3 linked regions of the Drosophila melanogaster genome follow. The protein of the gene in region 2 binds, or shares a complex with, the protein of the main gene of each other region. Each region holds a gene or a part of one and is shown on either strand. Other genes may lie near its edges.

The links.
Region 1: Cdk8 (region 2) and CycC share a complex: the UniProt entries of both Drosophila melanogaster proteins name them as parts of the cdk8 module of the Mediator complex.
Region 3: Cdk8 (region 2) and kto share a complex: the UniProt entries of both Drosophila melanogaster proteins name them as parts of the cdk8 module of the Mediator complex.

What each region holds. Positions count from the first base shown.
Region 1 is NT_033777.3:14,886,593-14,892,305, forward strand, and holds CycC (cyclin C), read right to left. Parts: upstream 3,614-5,713; 5' UTR 3,466-3,613; coding exon 2,878-3,465; intron 2,818-2,877; coding exon 2,602-2,817; 3' UTR 2,412-2,601; downstream 1-2,411. Other genes in the region: CG33331 (uncharacterized protein), read left to right, coding at 1-1,018; CG33332 (uncharacterized protein), read left to right, coding at 1,258-2,142, 2,203-2,367; UQCR-C1 (Ubiquinol-cytochrome c reductase core protein 1), read left to right, coding at 3,766-3,834, 4,104-4,310, 4,370-4,698, 4,761-5,131, 5,193-5,284, 5,359-5,703. UniProt on the Drosophila melanogaster protein: Component of the Mediator complex, a coactivator involved in regulated gene transcription of nearly all RNA polymerase II-dependent genes.
Region 2 is NT_037436.4:9,834,686-9,842,177, forward strand, and holds Cdk8 (Cyclin-dependent kinase 8), read right to left. Parts: upstream 3,986-7,492; 5' UTR 3,921-3,985; coding exon 3,790-3,920; intron 3,728-3,789; coding exon 2,494-3,727; 3' UTR 2,395-2,493; downstream 1-2,394. Other genes in the region: I-2 (Inhibitor-2), read right to left, coding at 323-597, 654-748, 1,128-1,295, 1,364-1,461, 1,524-1,820; RasGAP1 (Ras GTPase activating protein 1), read right to left, coding at 5,877-6,878. UniProt on the Drosophila melanogaster protein: Component of the Mediator complex, a coactivator involved in regulated gene transcription of nearly all RNA polymerase II-dependent genes.
Region 3 is NT_037436.4:19,834,491-19,841,524, reverse strand, and holds the start of kto (kohtalo), read right to left. Parts: upstream 4,912-7,034; 5' UTR 4,850-4,911; coding exon 4,237-4,849; intron 4,176-4,236; coding exon 1,508-4,175; intron 1,434-1,507; coding exon 1-1,433. Other genes in the region: CG32221 (uncharacterized protein), read right to left, coding at 5,288-5,404, 5,480-6,171, 6,235-6,724. UniProt on the Drosophila melanogaster protein: Component of the Mediator complex, a coactivator involved in regulated gene transcription of nearly all RNA polymerase II-dependent genes.

The DNA of each region.
Region 1 (5,713 bases), on a different chromosome or scaffold from region 2:
ATACAGACGCACGGTGGCGCGGTTTCCTCTGGGCAGTGTCAGCTATATGTTCGCCTACGGATCCGGCGTCAAACAGCAGGAAGGCTATGGAAAAGTCGGCAATGGAAACAACCTGCGTCCTCCGCCGGGAACCGTTGTGGATCTGGTCTTTTGCGTTCGTGATGCTAGGGGCTTCCATGCGGAGAACCTGCACCGTCATCCGGACCACTATTCCGCCCTTAGGCACCTGGGACCGAACTTTGTGGCCAAGTATCAGGAGCGTTTGGGTGCGGGTGTCTATTGCAACACGTTGGTGCCTCTGCCAGATGTGGGCATTACCATAAAGTACGGCGTGGTGTCGCAGGAGGAGCTGCTGGAGGATCTGCTTGACTGGCGGCATCTTTACTTGGCAGGAAGGCTGCACAAACCAGTGACGAATCTGGTCAATCCTTCTGATAATCCTCCCCTCAAGGCTGCGCTGGAGAGGAATCTTGTATCCGCGCTGCAAGTGGCTCTGCTACTTTTACCAGAGAAGTTCACTGCCTACGGACTTTTCCACACCATCGCCGGACTGAGTTACAAGGGCGATTTCCGTATGATTTTCGGGGAAAACAAACAGAAAGTGCACAACATAGTTAGTCCGCAAATCAATGACTTCTTCGCCCTATACCAACCCTCCCTGGGACAACTTTCCGACTATGTGGCGGTAAACATGAAGGGCCAGGAACCAGGGAGCCGGAAACCAGCCATAATCTTCGAGCAGGACAAATCCTCATCGGCTACATGCCAACACCTGCGACAGTTGCCCCGAGAGCTTCAGAAGCGATTGCAGCGAAATGCCGCCTGTCGTGGCGACTACACCCAGGTGGTGAATCACCTATCCATGGCCTCCCAGCTTCCGGAGGTGCTGCAGGCATCCGTCAACGACATTGTGTGGCGCAGCAGTGTCACGCAATCGATCAAAAATATTCCCAGTGCTGGCATTCTCAAGTCATTGGCGTATAGCTATCGCAAGGCTCAAAAGACATTCGCTGTTTAGGTTTATTTTTCGGGTTAATCCCCTGGCTGCCAATCATTCTACCGACTAAGTTGTCCCATCCAGCTGCATTTTGTTAAATACTTTTAAGCTTTAAAGTTGTTAACTGCAATATAATGTTTAGCCCAATCCAAAGACCTGAGTTTTCTTGGGGATTCTCTCTTTTCACATCCAATGGACCTCTTTATAACCTCAGGAATATCTTGGTTTACTTATTATTTCATTAATTGTATTTGCAGATCATGTCCAGCGACGACAATAGTAGTGATAGCAATTCGTCCAGCGATGAAAGGCAAAGGAAACGGAAGCTTAAGAAGCACAGCAAAGATGTGGACAAGTCCAAAAAGAAGAAGTCGAAAAAGCACAAGAAAGAAAAGCGTCGCCACAAGGAGAAGAAACGCAGCAAGCATGAGGAGGAGCCACCTGTGCCTTACACGCAACCTCCACATTTAATTAATGCATCTCCGCCAGATGTGGCTACAAACAACGAAGATTCCTTTGGTCCCGCTTTACCGCCGCATTTAAGGAAGACCCAGCAGCCGGAACTCCCTGAGCAAAGCCAACCAGCCCCACAACCGCAGGCCATGATAGGACCCGTCCTGCCCAGCAATTTGACCCGGGAAAAGTCTCCTACTAAGGAAGCGGAAGCTGAGGACGATGATGACCTAGCTGGCACCTTTGGTCCTCTGCCAAATGCCAGTCAAGTGGCTCTGGAGGAACGTGCTTTGGCACTTAAACTGGCAGCTCTGGAGGGCGGGGGATTGGGTACATCTACAGACCAAGATGTCCGCGAAGAGTGGATGCTTGAGCTGCCAGATGTGGGACTGAAGAGCGGCCTTGCCGCCCTGAGCAATATGAAGCGCACTTTCTATCAGGGAAAAGAGCGACCCGACTTTAGCGATCGATCATCCTGGACGAAGACCCCGCAGAGTGAAGCGGATGCTGCTGCATCGGGCCCAAAGTCGCTCAGTTCGAAGGAACTCGAGCAAATGGCACAGGTCAAGTACGAACAGCAGCGGGATGACGAGCAGGAGAGCATGGCCAAGAGGCACAAAAAGAAGCACAAGCGAGAGGAGTCCCTAGTGGAGCTACATCAAAAAAAGCTTAGGAAAGAGCAGAGAGAAAAGGTACGAGGAAAAATATTTCTTAAAAACATAATATGGATATAATATTGTTATAAATTTAAGGAAAAAGAACTGGCTGCATCGGGTTCCAAGCCAGAACGAAGACCTTTTAGTAGGGATGTGGACTTGAAACTTAACAAGATCGACAAGAATCAGACCAAGCAGATTGTAGACAAGGCCAAGATATTGAACACCAAGTTCTCCAGGGGTCAAGCTAAGTATCTGTAGGTTAAATGAACCATAAAAAATCCAGACGATCCGTACCGCATGTTAATCTTAAGCAATTATGTAATTTAATTTAGAAATAATTATTATAAAGGCAAAATAATTTGTAAATGACATTTTTGATTGCTTAGTCACCTAGCTTAAACTTTCGTTTAATTGGCATAAATACATTGGTAATATGAGTACAAACACACAATTGGGCAATACCAGCTAATGATGAATGATTATGAAGCTCTTCTAACGCTGAGGCGGTGGTTTCGGTTTCGGAATCTTGGACAGCAGCATCTGAATCTCGTCCTTTTCCTTCCAGTCCTTCCACAACTCGTACAGATTTACAATGGCGCGCACGATCTCCTGGACCTTGTCTAAATCAACATTCAATTCTGCGAACCACTGCTTCGTGGCGTCCTTTTGCAGGATGACGCAGGCGATTTGAAGGCAGGCTATAGCGATCTAGAAAAAAATAGGTTCTTCAAATGTGAGGAAGCTGTAGAAATTATCAGGATCACAAACCTGGTAAGGAGGATAGAGCAGGCAGACATCGGTGCGCAGGGAATCGTTTACGATACGCCAGCTCAGGGTGAGCAACTGGTCCTCCTGGCCCATGTCCTGAACCAGCTGCAGCAGCGGTCTGTACGGCTGGTAGACAATCAAGCAGCAATCCAGGTTCTCCAGCAGGTAAAACTCGCACTCCAGGATGTGATTGGTGCGGTAGGGAAACTCCTGAGCGTACGCATAGCTGAACTTTGTCTTAATGGCCGACTGGCAGATCGAGATCAGTCGTGAATTGGAAATGACACCGAACTCCTCCACCTTCGAGGCCAGCAAGATGCAAGTGGGCGCCAGCAGCAGAGGATCGATGTTCTTCAGGGAGTTCCTCGCATAGAATCTCTTGAAGTAAACCGTCGCCGTGGCGATGACCTGTTGCCTCAGCTTTAGCTGCTCGCCGAGCACCTGGATCACATTTGCGAAGAAAATAAACACCTTTTGGTATTCATCCTCGTTAAGGGCCAACAAATCGTGCTGACGCTCCCGGAGCAGATCGGGTTTGTCCAAAATCCACTGCTGCGAGTGCGAACTCTGCCAAAAATTGCCCGCCATTTCGTAACTAGTAGGCCTAGCTGATTAGGTCGGCCAATATTTTCGTGTTAGCTATCCAAATTAGGTGTTTATTTCAATAGCAAGCCGGAAAACCAGGAAAAACGAAAAAATTGTGTTGCCGTTTCAGCCAGTGTGTGCACACCAGGGCTATTTTCCACGAACAGCTGACTGGCCGCAGCCAACTTTGCGCAGCGCAGTACATTGGTGTGTGTGTGTGAATTTTTCATCAGCGCCGCGGCCACAGACGAAAAAGTCTTAAATATTTTTTAGTAATAGGCTATTGAACGAATTAATAAAACGATGGCGTTGCGAGTTCTTGGCGTGACGCAGAATATGCGCTCCTTCATGCGGGGCGTTGACATGATCAAAGTAAGTCCAGACAGCCATCCAATGATTACGCTTCCGAGGATTTAAATTACGTAATTGTAAATGATTGTGTTTTTGGTTGCAATTGTGGTTTATTCTTGTGAGAAAAGGGATAAACAACCTCTTGTTGGTCAGTTATTCAAGAGCCATCCAGTTTTTCAAACAAATATTTGGGAAAACTGTTTGGAAAACCCACTACAAGCACTTTGAGGTTATGTTCGTGTTTTACTTAACTCTGGGCTATAGTTTTCCCAATTTTCCCGAACTTACAGCGATACAAGTCGGCTGCCACCCTACAGAAGACTCTGCTGAACATACCCGCCACCCAGGTGACCAAGCTGGACAACGGTCTCCGCGTGGCTAGCGAGGATTCCGGTGCCTCTACCGCCACCGTGGGACTGTGGATCGATGCTGGGTCGCGCTCCGAGAACGAGAAGAACAACGGAGTGGCCCACTTCCTGGAGCACATGGCCTTCAAGGTTGGCTCACTAGCTTGATGCTTTAAATGCGTATAATATGCGTTTCTGCCACTTTTTAGGGTACCGCCAAGCGCTCGCAAACGGATTTGGAGCTGGAGGTTGAGAACCTGGGCGCCCACTTGAACGCCTACACTTCCAGGGAGCAGACCGTCTTCTACGCCAAGTGTTTGTCCAAGGATGTGCCCAAAGCCGTCGAGATCCTGGCCGACATCATCCAGAACTCCAAGCTGGGTGAGGCTGAGATCGCCCGCGAGCGTTCGGTGATTCTGCGCGAGATGCAGGAGGTGGAGAGCAACCTGCAGGAGGTGGTCTTCGATCACCTTCACGCCACCGCCTATCAGGGCACTCCTCTGGGCCAGACCATCCTGGGACCCACCAAGAACATTCAGTACGTATATTCAGCTCTTATAACAAATGCTCTGTCTCTAATTAAAATCTTCATTTATTTAGGTCCATTGGCAAGGCCGATCTGACCGACTACATCCAGACCCACTACAAGGCTTCGCGCATCGTTCTGGCCGCTGCTGGCGGCGTCAAGCACGATGATCTGGTCAAGCTTGCCTGCAGCAGCTTGGGTGGCCTGGAGGCCAGTGTGCTGCCCGCGGAGGTGACTCCCTGCCGCTTCACCGGCTCCGAGGTGCGTGTGCGCGACGATTCCCTGCCCCTGGCCCATGTCGCCATCGCCGTCGAAGGCTGCGGCTGGACCGACCAGGACAACATCCCCCTGATGGTGGCCAACACCTTGGTGGGTGCTTGGGATCGTTCCCAAGGCGGTGGCGCCAACAACGCCTCCAACCTGGCCCGTGCCAGCGCTGAGGACAGTAAGTGTACATCAGTAAGACGACCAGGATATGGAGATTATTAACTATTATTGCCCTACAGACCTTTGCCACAGCTTCCAATCGTTCAACACATGCTACAAGGACACCGGACTCTGGGGCATTTACTTCGTGTGCGACCCTCTGCAGTGCGAGGTAAGAAGAATTAATGATTCAACAGAAAACTCTCGAGAGAAAGCAAATTTTACGTAAACAAACCTCTTCCCCAGGATATGCTCTTCAACGTGCAGACCGAGTGGATGCGTCTGTGCACCATGGTTACCGAGGCTGAGGTCGAGCGCGCCAAGAACCTTCTGAAGACCAACATGCTGCTGCAGCTCGACGGCACCACACCCATCTGCGAGGACATTGGCCGCCAGATCCTGTGCTACAACCGCCGCATCCCGCTGCACGAGCTGGAGCAGCGCATCGATGCCGTGAGTGTGGGCAATGTGCGCGACGTCGCAATGAAGTACATCTACGATCGGTGCCCAGCCGTCGCTGCCGTGGGTCCCGTTGAGAACCTGCCCGACTACAACAGAATCCGCTCCTCCATGTACTGGTTGAGGGTTTAAGAGGTTCCGC
Region 2 (7,492 bases):
CTCCGACCAGGTGCACATTCTTTGTGCTCTAAACTCAATTTGCAACAATAAAGTGCCCCTCGGCTTATCGGCTGTGTTCACTACTCGATGACGCATCTCCTTGGCGACGGTTTGTTTTTTGTGTTTAGTTGGGTAAATTCAATTAATCACGAGTGCTCCTCGCCACCCTGCTAATCAGCATCCACTTCTCACTCCGCACTCGCACAGCACTTGATAATTTGATATAATTTCGTTTGTTTATTGTTTTGGATGAGCTGCCCTCAGAATCGTCCATTGTCCGCTAGGTAAACATTAGTGATTGATTGATGGGTTGACATTGCTTCTAGTTATTCGATGGCTCCAGGTCCATGTTCTGGCCGGCGCTGGTAGACGGGGATGTGGTGGAGTCAGCCTGAGAGCTCGACCGTTTGGTCGAACTGCTCGCGAAACGTCCGGAGCTGGAAGCGCCCTGTGACGAGCCCGAGGGCCGGCTATCCGCACCCTTGTCCTCGTCGTCATCGTCGTCGTCCTCCTCCTGGATCAGTTTTCGTGCCAGTTTGACGGCCTCAAACTCGCGATAGTGGGCCTTACGGCGTCGCTCGAATTCGCGCCGCCGTTCTGCAAGCAAATATGTTTGAGCAATTGTTGGAATCTGAGATGTTCATGGTACTTACGTCGCTCCTCTTCGCTAAGGGGCTGGTCATCACCGGAGGAACCATCGTCCTCGATGCTCTCTGTCGACGGCTGTGTGTTAGCCGCTATGCGGAGTCTGCAAATTAGTATGTGTTTTTAGTAATTGTAAGTGCAATAATATGTAAACTACAAAATGACTGGCACGGCTTTAAAATAAGTCTTCAAATTTCAAAAAAAACTTTTTCTTTTCAAACAAATTATTGATTATGAATTTAGCTAGTTATATTCTTAAGAAATCTGAGGCAGTCATATTGCTCAATAATGTTGATATATTTGATTATCATTTTGCAAATCGTATAATTATCAACGATTGTTTAATCTCTGAATCTATAAGTCACATGTAAACAAACAAATGTGAACGGCGCATTTTCTGGAAATCAGTTTTGTTTGAAACTTGATACTCTGTGCTCTTGCCAAACCATTTAGCAAGTAAACAATAGGAAAGCTCCACATACTTCTCCACTAGCAACTCCGTGTCCAGCTCGTCCCTGTTCTCGTCGAAGCCCTCCGTGTAGTTGTACGGCGTTTTGGGCTCATCGATTTTCATGTGTCCGTAGTCCTTGTCGGCCGGATGGAAGGTCTGCATCACGTTCAGCTCATCGAACTTGGCACTTTTGCGAAAACTTTTTAAAAGGATGAAAAAGAAACCAATTAATAAGGGCTATTAACTGGGGTCATTCGATGACCTCACCTGGCTCCCGACTTGTCGAAGCTACGCGAAGTCTTTAGTATACCCTTGCAGGGTAGCTGTGGGCTGGGATTGTTCTGCATCCTGGCTATCTGTGTTACCTGTAACAATGGGCAAAGACCAGAGTGTGCTTTAGTTGCGAACAATGCACGCGGATAATTACGTCAGGCGGTTGGGAGTCATTGATGATTTCGTAGATTTTATGGTTGTTGTTTCTGTTGCTGCTGCCACTGTTGCTGCTGGACAATCGTGAATCACGGCGGCAGTAGCCGAACAGGCACTGAAATCGCGATGTTCGCCAGATTATAATGGCACAGGTCGCGGCGAAACCTCGTGCCCTTGGAGGGGTTGCCATTGCCGCCCACTGGGTGGCCACTACGGCCAGCAATGCCCCACCAACACCCCGCTGGACATCCGACGCATTGTTGTCGTCCGCCTCCGCCTGCACCACCGCCTCCATTCCGAATCCCACTTACTTGTGTGACTTTCGCCTGTTAACTGCAATTGCAACTGCGTTTCCGGAGGGCAATTTACGCCACAATCTTCAAGTTGGCAGCCAGCTGGGTTTTGGGCGAGGGCCACGATCTCATCGATGTCGCCAGACGGGCGGTTTTGATCTTAATTTGGAAAACGTTAGATTTGGCTCTTTACGCTTTAATGGTCACTGTGTGGATATTCTCTTCTAATTTGTATTGCAAAGCAAATGGCAAATCCGGTAAAATATTCTAACAAATTCTACTAGAGCTGGCAACACAGCGATGGCACCTTCGATTACATTTAATCGATACTTGCGTATCGTGACCCAAGCCGACACAAAAACATAACATGCTTTAAATAAATAGCTCAGACTCGAACCAATTTTAAAAATAGTTTTCAAAACTTCGTTTGAGAAATTCATTTTTGAGAGGAAAGAACATGCATTCAAATTTATTTTTGAATATCCTTCGGAAAGATATTTCAACGAATTTGAGTTAATTGGAGTTCACAAAATTAAATAAAGAAAACCCTGTCCATTAAAAATCAACGTTTTATATCGTACACTTTACTTGCTATTATCAAGGTCATTAAATTAAATACTTAGAAGGCTAGAAATTAGTAGGTGTTGTAGAAAAAATGCTGCATGTATCAGTCTCTCAGTTGAAGCGCTGGAAGTTCTGCTGCTGATTGAACATCATCTGTTGCTGCTGCTGCTGCTGTTGTTGCTGCTGCTGCTGTTGCTGCTGCTGCTGGTGGTGAAAATCTTGCTGGTTACCAGCTCCGGACAATCGAACTCTCTTTGCATTCGGCTCAGCGTTCATTTGCTGCTGCTGCTGCTGCTGTTGTTGTTGCTGCTGCTGTTGCTGCTGCTGTTGCTGCTGTTGTTGCTGCTGCTGTTGCTGCTGTCGCTTATTATCCGACTTATCTTCCTGGTCGTCGTCGGTGAGGAATTCACGCTTGGGATACGGTATGGGGCAGCCGGCGAACACGTCCTGCGTGGGCTGCGGCTCCTCCTGGAAGTACTGATCCTGCATGGCCTGTTCGGAGGTGATGCGCTTGTTGGGATCCATTAGCAGCAGCTTCTGCAGCAGGTGAAAGGCCTTGCTGTCTGGCTTTATTTTGTGCCTTTCCATGTATTTGGCCAGCGAGCAGGTGGAGTATGTGGAGCGTTTAAAGTCCTTTGTCAGCGTATGATGTTCCGGCATCTTCTTGATATCCTCCCAGTCCTTGTCCTGCGGAAAGCCCATCACATTGAAGATGCGGTCTAGCTGATCGTGATGGTACGGATTACTGGTCTTTATGTCCTCCTGGCGGCAATGGAAGATGGGCTCCGAAGTGAGTAGTTCGGCGAAAATACAGCCAATAGCCCAGATGTCGATAGCCTTGGTGTAGTGACGAGCGCCAAGCAGCAGTTCCGGAGCGCGATACCAAAAGGTAACCACCACGGGATCCAGATCTGCCAGCGGTTTCAATGGGGCATTGAAGAGCCGCGCGAAACCCATGTCGGCGATTTTTACGCGGCCCCTCTCGTTGCCATCGCCCATCACCAGGATGTTGGCCGGCTTCAGGTCACGATGTAGCACCCAATTACTGTGCAGATAGTGAATCCCATCCAGAATCTGATATAGCAGACTTTTAACCATACCGCGGGGAACCACAACCTGCTTTTTGGTGGCCTTAGCAGCCCGATGGAACTTAATGATGTGCCACAGGTCGTGCTCCGCATAGTCGATCAACAGGAACACCTTGCGGTCGTTGTGCGACAGAAACACCCGGATGAGGGTAATTACGTTCTGATGCTTCAGTTCGCGCAGCAATGCGATCTCGCGGCAGGCGGACATGGACAATCCGGTGCCGTCGATCTGCTTCAAGGCATATTCTTTGCCATCGCTAAAGAACATGAATACTATAATTATTTATATTGTTTGAAGAGCACCCGATGACCAGTTCACCTTGTCTCCTTCCATTTCGCCTTGTAGACGTGGCCGTATGTTCCGCGTCCCACCTTACAGCCCTCGTAGTTGAATAGGTCCTCCACTTTCGTACGCTCTATCTGCGTTTTCATCTTGAAATCGTAGTCCATTTTTACAAAAGTTTGCAAATTCCACAATTGTTTGTAAATGAAGATGCCGCCAATCAGCTGTCTCCCGATAACGATAACACAGCCTTAACCAGGGATGGAAAATGGGAACAGTGCTCGCCATACCTAGCTTTTTTTATAGCTAGCCTTTTAAAACAGAAAACATTTTTTTATAATTTTGTTTTTTTTAATTTTTTGTTTACTGTTTAAAAAATTCTATTGTATCCACAAACAAGCAAAGCCAGAAAAACTTTCTGTATATTTCATTCAACCTCGTAAAAAAAAAACTTGTTTCTAAAGAAAGAAAGAAAATAGAAATATAATCCCCCTAAATATTTTTGAATTCTGAACCAAATCAAATACATATATATTGGATGTTATATAGAAAAATAGGTAATCCAATAGTACTTGACAAGGTGCTTGTATAATCCTATCACAATAAAATATGAAAGCTCTATCAATAATAAACTCAAAAGAAAACGAAATCAAAATTTATCCATTGGCGATACGCTTTATTTTTCCCTTGGAAAATATCTATGTTTTTATTTTCGATTCTTTGTACCAACAACTTATCAGCTAGGCATGGTAAAAGTAAACTATAATTGTGTCCTTAAAATGCAAGTGAAATTATATGTATATGAACCACGTTGGAAACTCCAAACAATTTAAATTCATAGCAACATCTCGTCGTGTTTCTTTCTCCGTTTCGTATCTCTATGTACATTATGCAGATATTAGAATTAAGAAATGCACAAATTATTGGATTGGAATGCATAAACAAAAGGCAATATGATTGAACGCGGCGAAGGAAGACACTTTTCAATGCGATTGATGAACACTGAACTAAATATGGCAAAAATTAGATTATTTAACATTCTAGTTCTAGATGTAAATTACATGTGTAATTAATATGGAAGAGCTTTGGAAACAAATCGGTGGAAGTAAGTCGAAGCTAACCAAATCGTGTTTGTGTAACAATTAACTTGTTTTTCGTTTTAAGTTTAATATGAAATTAAATGCATTTAATAAATATAGGTGTGCGTGCGTATGTGTTTGTATATGCAAAATGGAAGTAAATTTGTTCTTAACAATGCTTTTTGTTTGTATTCTAGAATTTGCCGAATACATATCGTGTGTTGTTTAACATTAGCTGTATGACAGTTATATAAAGTAAATATACATGTAAATGTATGTTTTTTTCATGCTTTTCGCAGTATTTTTCTCGCGTTCAGATTGCGTTAGAATTATTTGCTTTTCGCGTGTGTCGCCTCTGGGCAAAACGCCTAGTTTAGTTGATTTTTTAGAAATTTTTGCTACGCCTAAATTAACTGGTATAATGAAGTTAATCATACACATGTACATACATACTGTGGGATATATATATACTCGTGTATCTGCTATTTACATCTTTTCATTTTCATTTCGCTACTCATCATCCCGCCGATACTTAACTTAGGCTAGGCTTTAAAAAATCTTAGCAGTTTCTGAGTTTTTAGTAGTTTAGGCTTATAAAGTTATCAGTTTTCAGTGGTTCTCTGCCCTCTTTGCGCTCACACAAGTATAGAAATGCTCTTTCCATATTGGGTATTTTGTTTTCGTGTAAAAATAATGTTAGCACATACAAAAAAATAAATAGGCTTATAAATATTTAGATTTCGTTTCCGTTCCTCTTGTTTTCTCCTCGTGTTGTTGTAGCTGGTGTAGGCGGTACCGTAAAAATCTGGTGTATAAAAACTGTTAATTAAAAAAACTTAGTCTAGACCTTTACAACGTTAAACTCGTAAAAATGATACAAAAAAAAACAAGAGCCTAGAAATTAGCACAATTAATCGTTTTGTACAGCAGCATCCTCTGGTTGCGTAGGAGCGGTAGGGGGTTGTGTTTGCCACATCGATGCGTATTCCTTTACCTGGTCGTGATAATGGCCCGCGGCAAAGCGAATACGCACAGCCTTGAACGCTAATAAATCGGTGGAGCTGGCTGCGATGACGATGTGGTGCTGGGCGGTGCGGCCACCACACTTGATGTGGTCGATGATGGACTGGAGGAGGATCCATTGCCGCAGTTATTGTTGTTCAAATTGTTGTTGTGGCGCTGCAGTTGATGGCTGCGCAGGGGCTGGAACTGCGACTGCTGTTGCTGGAGCTGCTGATGGTGCTGCTGTTGCTGCTGATGGAACGGCAATCTCTGCTGCTGATACTGCATGTTGTGCAGACAGTAGGCGTTCATGTTGCTCGTAGCTGGCTGATAAGGATACGCCCGAACGTTCTGCATTTGCGGCAGCACTGGCTGCGGCTGGAACTGCTGAAGTTGCTGCTGCTGCTGCTGTTGCTGTTGCTGCTGATGTTGCTGCTGCTGGTGATGCTGCTGATTCAACTGGCCGGCGGCTCGCATCATATGCCAATAGTTATCATCGCCAATGGGTGCCTGTCTGCTGCCGTATTTCAGTTGCCGCGTAATGCCCTGCTTGTAGTCCCGATGATCTCTATCGATGGCATAGGCCTTCTCTCTCAGCTTCTCAATCGTTCGCTTGAACTCAGCGAAGGCCTGTGGTGAATGCTTCTGCAGATCGGTGGCCAGCGGCACCAGAGGATTGTGCTGTTGGTGTTGCGTCTGCGACAGAGACTGGTGATAGGTGAGCGGATCTAGCAGTGACTCCAGCACACTCATGTTAGACATGATCAGCGTGTGGATGCGCTGCAGATCGAGCGCTGGATCCAGCGCCGTTACTAAATCCATCTGGAAGTAGTCCATCGTCTTGTCCAACACCTTCTTACAGCCCGGTGAATTCTCATCCGACCGGCCGCAGCAGCTGTAGAATCCACTTACAAAGGCCGAGGGATGGAAGTACTGCATCCGGATGGAGTTCATCAGACATATCTTGTGCAGCAGGTCGAACCACTCGCGCTCCTCCACGCAGTTCGTTGTCTGCACAATCAGCGAGCGATCGTTGTGCACAATCTGTGGGAGAAGAGGCGAAAGTAAATCTTAGTCTCATCTTTGTGCAATTAACATAAATTCTGTGCGCGGCGCAATTGCAAAACAATCGCACCCAAGTGAAATCGCTGGCTGAGACAATTCCCACATCTTGGCTGCGTTAAAAAATAAGAAAACGTAACGCCAAGAAATCGCACCCACGTTGACGATTCTCTTCTGCGTCGGCTGCATTGGTTTCTAGGTTTTGAAATTTCCCTTTTTTGCCTTACTACCTTCAAATGGCAATAACAATAGCGTACGCAAAGCGGAGCTCCGCCAGTTCATCTGCATAATAATGCTAATTATTTTTAATTGCCGCAACTTGTCATTTGCCACACAAAACTCTGTGAGTGATTAGTGAAAGTTTCGCGGGCAACTGACTGGAGGTTCGGTTTTCACTGTCGCCGAGGATGGGCCTGCCTGCTGCCGCCATCGATTAGCAGCCACTGCTCTACGCCCACACAGAGTCACATCGTTCAGTCATGAGCTTGCCGCCGGAGGCAGTGATGATGTTTTTTTTTTAGAACGAAATGAAACCTAATTATAGATAGACTAAAAAGAAAGAACTATGCGGCTATAGGATTTATTTGCTTTCTAAA
Region 3 (7,034 bases), about 10 Mb from region 2:
CCACTCGAAGTATCCTGCCCTGCACCGCTGGTGTTAGTTTAGCGATGAGTGGAGCCACTAGCCAGGTGGACGGTTTGGGTTTGTGGGTCGCCTTCACGGCACCCGGCAGGACAACTTCCTCCATGTGGAAGACGTCGATTGCCGCGCGTGCCACTGTGTCGAGCCAAACATTAAGCTCCGCGTTGTTGCTCAGCGATTGGCGGTACATAAGCTGAAGATCCAGCCACGAGATACGCAGTGTCCACTGTCCGAGATTCTCTAGTATGCGTACGATCATTGAGCGCTGATCCAGTTCGGAGATGATGTTAAACTCAGGCTCCGGATAGCAGATCATGTGCAGAACCCGCTGTGCCTGTTTCGCGGTCAGCATTTCGTCGATTATCATGTCGCAGAGTTGCTCTGCGTTCTTTAGGCATCTTTCCAGAACGTGTTCCTGGGCGCAGATCTGCTTGAGCACCGCCTGGGCGAACTCCAACAGCGAGATCTGCTCCATTCCTCCGACCGATGGCTGTTGCAGGGCTTCGGGTTCGCTTGTCAAACTGCTGCCCAATTGTAAATCGCTGGTGCCCAGGATCTGGCTGAGATCGGCCGGTCGTTGTTCGTTGCTCTTGGGTGTGCTTCCCGGATGGACCGGTGTATTGAAGCCACTACGCTTGCCGCTTCCAAAAGCTCCGCCCAATCCGCCAGAGGAGGTGCCGCTGCCGGAAGCCAATGGTGTTTTAAGCGCCGCATTGTCCACAACAATGAGAATGGCCTTGAGCACGGCAAGCACTGCGGCAATGGGAATGGTCTTATGGGCACCCACCAGAAGATGACGATCGCAGCTCAGCCGAATGCTAAAGTCGTTTCCCACAGCGTGCAGTGGATTCGGGGAAGTGCTTACCGAGTACATGCCAGGTTGAGGAATCTCCAAGGTCTTAAACAGCTTCAGCACCAAGTGACATGTAAGACGAGCACCTGCCTCTGCATCTACACTCAGTTCGGCTCCACCAGCGCTTACCGATCGGGCCAATGTAGGCAGGGCGAACTTACTTACAAAGTCGGCTAGTGAGAAGCAATGTCTGGCCACCAGAATGCATACGAACACGGCCAGGGCGTTGTGAGTCTTAAGTTGTCCAATGTCGACCTGTCCGCCCAGGTGCGGATAACGCGGACTCTTACTGCCGCTGCACAGACTCTGCAGTGCGTATATCCACTCCTCAGACAAGACGTTGCAGCTGGCGGTCAGTTCGGCACATGCGAGGGCCACATCGTTCAGCCGCTCGTTGTCCGTCTCTCGGCAGACGGCTATTAATGCGTTAGACACGAAACTGTATACATTGGCCGGCGACTCGTGCAGGGTTCCCAGCCAGTGAGGATCCAGTTTACCACCGCGTCGAGGGGCCATGAAAAGCTCCTGCAACAACAGTGGGTTGTAACCCTGAGGTGGTAGGCTAAATAAAAAATGGTAATATTTGTTAATATTATATATTATATTATTGGGGAAGAACTTGCGATCTAAACTCACTCAAGCTGCTCTGGAGTGTTGAATATGTCCTTGAACCGCTTGATGCACTGCAGCTGCTGGTAGTACTCCGTGGATTGTTCCTTTCCCTGGAGCAAAACACACGACTCGTGTAGGTCGCTCAGGTAGGCAATAATGCAGCGCTCCGCCGAAGTGCACTCACTCGGATTCGATACGTGCCGAATGGTACGACAGACTCCCTCAAAAACAGACAGCGTCTGCTCCGGTGAAAGAAGAAGGCAGCTGTGGTAGCGCCGCAGGATGCTGACGATGTAGAGGGCAAGTGAAGTGGTGTAACTGCGCACTAGGTTTGACTTCTTTAGCTGCAACTGGTGCTCCACCTCAGGCAACTCCTTCAACAGACTATCGCACAGTTCCAAAAGACTGTAGATATTAAGAGCCAGCTCCATCAGATCAAAGAGGAACGCCACGTGCTCCTGTACCGGCAGGTAGTTGTTGTTCCCTAACGCGAATCCGTTCAGCTGCTCCAGGACATTGGCCGCACATTGGGCTGTGACCACATGCTGGTCGAAATAAGCCATCTGCTGGCACTTGGACGTGGTAGCTTCGAAGTTAAACTCGTTGCGCGAGTGCTTCTTCACATGACCGGCCGCCGCCACATCTATGCTAAACTTTTTTGTGAAAAGCTTTCCAATTTCCTTAGACATCTTCTTGACAGCATGCTTCTTCTCGTCCCTCTCTTTGCCGACTCCGAAGAGCAGGATGTATCGCTGGTTGCTTTCACTGCTGTAGCTGCTCATGCTGGGATCATCCTGGGGGATGGGGAAGTGCTTGGTGTACACGTAATGCCGCGATATGCTACCGCCAGGATTGGTTTCTCCATCGCCTGGAGGACCAATCTTGGGACTGTCTGGAGCTTCGTGCTGTTGTCCTTTCTCCTTAATATTTTGCACCAGTTTGTCCAAATCGTCGTCCACATTGGAATCATCAAATTCGTTGTGTTTGAAGTCCAGGCCCCCGCCGAATCCGTCATCATCGAAACCGTGCGTCGTCGTTGGTGGTGGAGCTGGAGGTGGCGGCGATGTTTTCGTGGCCGTTGTTCCTGATTTGATCACCAGCACCGACTCCAGGAGCAGATCTCCTCGTGAAATTAGAGTGTGCATGTACGCGTTGTGCGAAAAGACATCGTGGCGAATCAATGCACTGAACAGCTGAACAAGGTTGGTAAATTCCGTGCGCTGCTGTGGACTGCTCACGTGCTCATCGAGGACGGGAGCATCGTGGTCAAGGAAGTGCATTAACACGTGCTGAAACACAGGCAGGCCATCAATTAAGCCGGCGCCCGAAGCTAGCGAGTCCTTGTCATCCTTATCACTGGATTGTTGATCCGCCGGCGTGCTTGTCACGTCGATCTGGCGCTTGTCAAGTAGAATGGCCACCACCATGGCTCTGTGTTCTCCCCAACGCTGCCCCGACACAGCCCACTCGCACAGAATGCGTACCGTGTCCTTGTCTTGTTTGGGTTCATAAGGCGGACGAGGTTCCACCTGATCCTCCTCCCGCCTGCGACTGACAGTTGGGCTGGGAAATATTTGTGCGTATAGGGTATCGATACTATTATTGTGTTCCATGCGATCGAAGCAGTGCGTGTCCAAGTGGTCCAGTGTAGCCAGCACACTGGTGTATTGATTCTTGCCGGCACTCAGCCACTTGGCTGCAAACCAGCGCTGCTCTGCATGCTGAGTGCGCAATACGATGTCCGACTCGGCGGCCCGCAATTGACGTCGAATCTCGTGATTGGTTCGCGGACAGCGTGTGGGCATCGGCAAGACTGAGGGCGCCAAAGGCAAATGGTCCAGCGGACTACCCAACAACGAGGAGGGTGCTCGGTGAGCTGCTATCCCACTCCAGACCAGAGCTGTGGGGCACTCGATTGTGATGATCTGTAGGATCGTGCTTAAATACAGCACTATATCCCGATGATGGGGACAACTCATTTGTTCCTGAAGCGCCAGCTCATAGGGATCTTGTTGCAACTTCGGCTCGTCCAACTCTTTGATGGTCTGCTGTTCTACGACAGTGTTCAGCAACTGGGCCAGTTTTTTGGACACTATGTAGGCCATCTTTCTGCAAAGACGCTCCGACTGGACGAAGTCGTGCATGTACTGAAGGGCAAAGCTGAGCACCAATTTCTTCAACGGTTCGTCGAAGCTTGCCTGCGTACGCATCTTGTCCAAAAGGTCGAGGATCCAGTTTAGAAATTCCTGTCGGTCCAAAAGTGATTCCTCGTACATGTACTTGCTCAATTGGTGGCAGTATTTCCAATACTTAAGCGCATTGCGACTATCTTCGAACTGGCTTCCAATTCCAGAAATTGTAGAGCCTGGTGGAACTGCAGCTCCTGCACCCGCTGCGCCTCCTACCACAGAAGACCCCGGCCCACCGACTACTCCGCCAAGGCTTCCCGTCGTCGGCATGACACTGCCGGCATTCACTCCTCCGCCAGGAGCTGCCTGTTGGCCATTAGCTGGGCTATGAATCGGTGGCAGTGGACTGGCCATGCTGGGTACCGGGATTACGTTCGTGGAAGCACTGCTACCGGTGACGGAGTTAATAGAGCTGGTGCCAGTGGAGCCATTGCTGGCAGGACCATTACCGGCGGCGGTCAGGCTTCCGGAAGTGGTGCCATTCGAAGAGGACTTGTCGTGGTCTAAAATCAAGAAGTTGAATAAGGGAGTTGATAGATTATAGAACTTAAGGACTGTACTCACTCTGCTGATAATACTCTTGGAGCTTGGGAAGCAGCTCTTTCATGAACTTGATCATGTTGCCGGTCCACTCGGCAGCCGGGTCGTAAATGGATCGCTTTTTGTTCTTAGACTCGGTGAAGCTAAGCGTATAGGCGGCGCTCAGCTTGATGAACCAGGTGGCGCGTTGCATGTTCACCTGGTTCTCGCACAGAGTAATGAAGATCTCCTCCTTCTTGTTGAACGATGGAGCCCGTTTGGCTAGGCTAAGTAGGGGTTTGTTACCGGCGAGGTCCTTAAACCAGGCGTCCACCGTACACTTGCGACGCGGCGAAACGGGCCAGAAGTTGTCCTTGCAGTTGATCTGCTGCTTCTTGCGCCCCGTGTCCGGCAGGGTCATCAGCTCCTCCTTCTTGGCCAGGACGCCGCTAAAGAATGCGCTCACTTTGCTGGCGTTCACATTCGAGTTGTGGGCCGTACCGAATTCATCGGACAGCGGTGGCGTCGTCGTGAATCCGTGCTTCACATTCGTGGGCGTCAGCTCGTCCTCTCGCTGCTTCGCGTCCTGCGGATAGATGTCCGGCGGACCCAGACGGGTGCGCTTCAGCGGACGCTTCTCCTGCAGCATGGACAGCATCTTCGCGGCCCTCTAGTTGCGTTTTATAAACAGATTTTCTTAGCGAATTCCCGATTTCCTCTGTTCGCCAACCCAACAACAAATCAAAATATCAGTGGTGGGGCGAAAAAATGCGATGAGCCATCGATAGTTCGATAACATCCCGCGAACAATCTAGCGGATGCAATCGAATTTAAGCTAAGTGTTAAATGGTTGTAAATATTACAAATGTAATCTTATCATGTTCAGCCACACATCCCCAATCAACCTGATACAGTACTTTAAATATGACGTAATTTTTTAATTATGCAGTGAAAAAGTTACATCGTTGTGCACTAACAAAAGAAATACCACTCAAAGTGGTAAGATCACGAATAAAGCTGCGTATAAATATTAAATAATTTACGTTGTATTTTTGGTAATGATTGAAGAAACATTCGTTGTTAAACGAATAAGGCCTCACAAGGCTTGGCGATCGAATTCCGGCTCATCGGCATAAAAGTGTCCGCCGCTTGTCATTCCATCGCTGCACTCGAAGTTCAAACAGAGCATTTTCAGGGGAAATTCGTGCGGTAGCTGCAAACGAAGCACAAAGTGTCACATTAACATAAGGACTTTCGAATATATGTATGTGCTTTAAATATTACTCACCCGTTCCATGATGTCATGCCTAATGTCAGTGGCCGCGGCAAATAGCTCTAGGGTTTGATGAGCTGAGCGTTTCGATAAGCTGGCCAGCGTGTCCAAGACGAAGGCGTCTGTGATGCCCAGGCAATAGCAAATGTTCAGATACCGAAGGCGCTCATTGTTGGCCACCAAAAGGGAGAGCTGCGTTTCTCCAATCTCACGAGCGGACTGTATGGAAAGGCACTCTAATCGACTCAACTTCGCCAAGTGGTGAACACACAGATCGTCACGAGGCTTGCAGACCAGCCACCGGAGACACTTCAAAGCACTGATGTACTGCGCCTGCTCCTCGTCAATCCAGCGTTTGCGGTGCAGGATGAGGTATTCCAACTGAATGGAGCACTGGCTTTTGGCCAGTGCCTTGAACAGGCGCGTTTTCATATCCTCCGAGCAGTATAATTGCAGGTACTTGAGGTTTACAAACTGCGGCAGGACCAACAGATCGGCGTCGCAGTCATTGAACGTCAGCTTCTCCAGGTGGCGGCAGTTGGTGGCCAGCATCCTGAGATTGCTGGTAGTCAGAAAGCGTTTGGCGTTGCGCAGCTGAAGGCATCGCAGCTTCCTCATGGGTTTCACAATTGTTGCGAATTCCGAGGCGGTCACGTCGTCGTACAAGCCAAGTTCCAGCATCTCGCTAAACTGACGTACTTCTTGTACTGTGAAGGGAGAAGCAATTAAATAATATTGTTGTGATAAGGTGAACATTAAATAGTTCTTACACTCCTTGCGTTCAAAGCTCTCCAGGCTCAGACTGTTGACCCGCGGAAGGTGTATCCCAATGGCTTTTATTAGATCCTTGCTGGTGCTCTTGTAGTTACGCACGTGCACCTTTTCCAGGGAGCTCATCCTCAATAAATACGGTTGCGCCCGTGCCACTGTTGCATTGTATATAGAGATGGACTTCAGTCGGTAGCAGTGTCTGCTGATCATCGGGAGCAGCTGCAGCGGGTGATCATCGTCAAAGTGGGATTCCAGTGTACCGATGCGACTGCCACAGAGCCACAGAAAGGTGCGCCAATCCTCCAGAGTCCTTATACTCATATCCTTGTCAACAACATCCTGGAAATCATGGCGATGCAGGCGAAGAAAGGCATCCCTAAAAATGCGACAGCATCGCGCCAAGTGCAACTGGTCCTCCAAGCTTAGAAGCTTGAAGATGAACAACAGAGAACTGGGGTCCAAGTCCAGAATACTGGTGATGCGGGCCATTATTAGCTGACTATGCTCATTGCGCGGGACCGTCACAGGCGCCAAATGGCCAGATTAGCAAAGGCAACTGGTTTATGTACGCCTGACATGGAAAAATTTATCCCAAGTCGGTAAGTTCTATTTATTTACTAATTGGACTGGTGGCAGTGATGACAATTTTCGAAGTAAGAGTCTTTTGGCAAGATTCAAGCTAAAAGGTTAAAGCTAAGATATTTTAACTATTGTTTAAGCTTTGTTTCTTAATAGAATTACAGTAAATAATAACATGACCTTAAAGTAAATTTAAATAAATTTAAATTTAATCAATTTT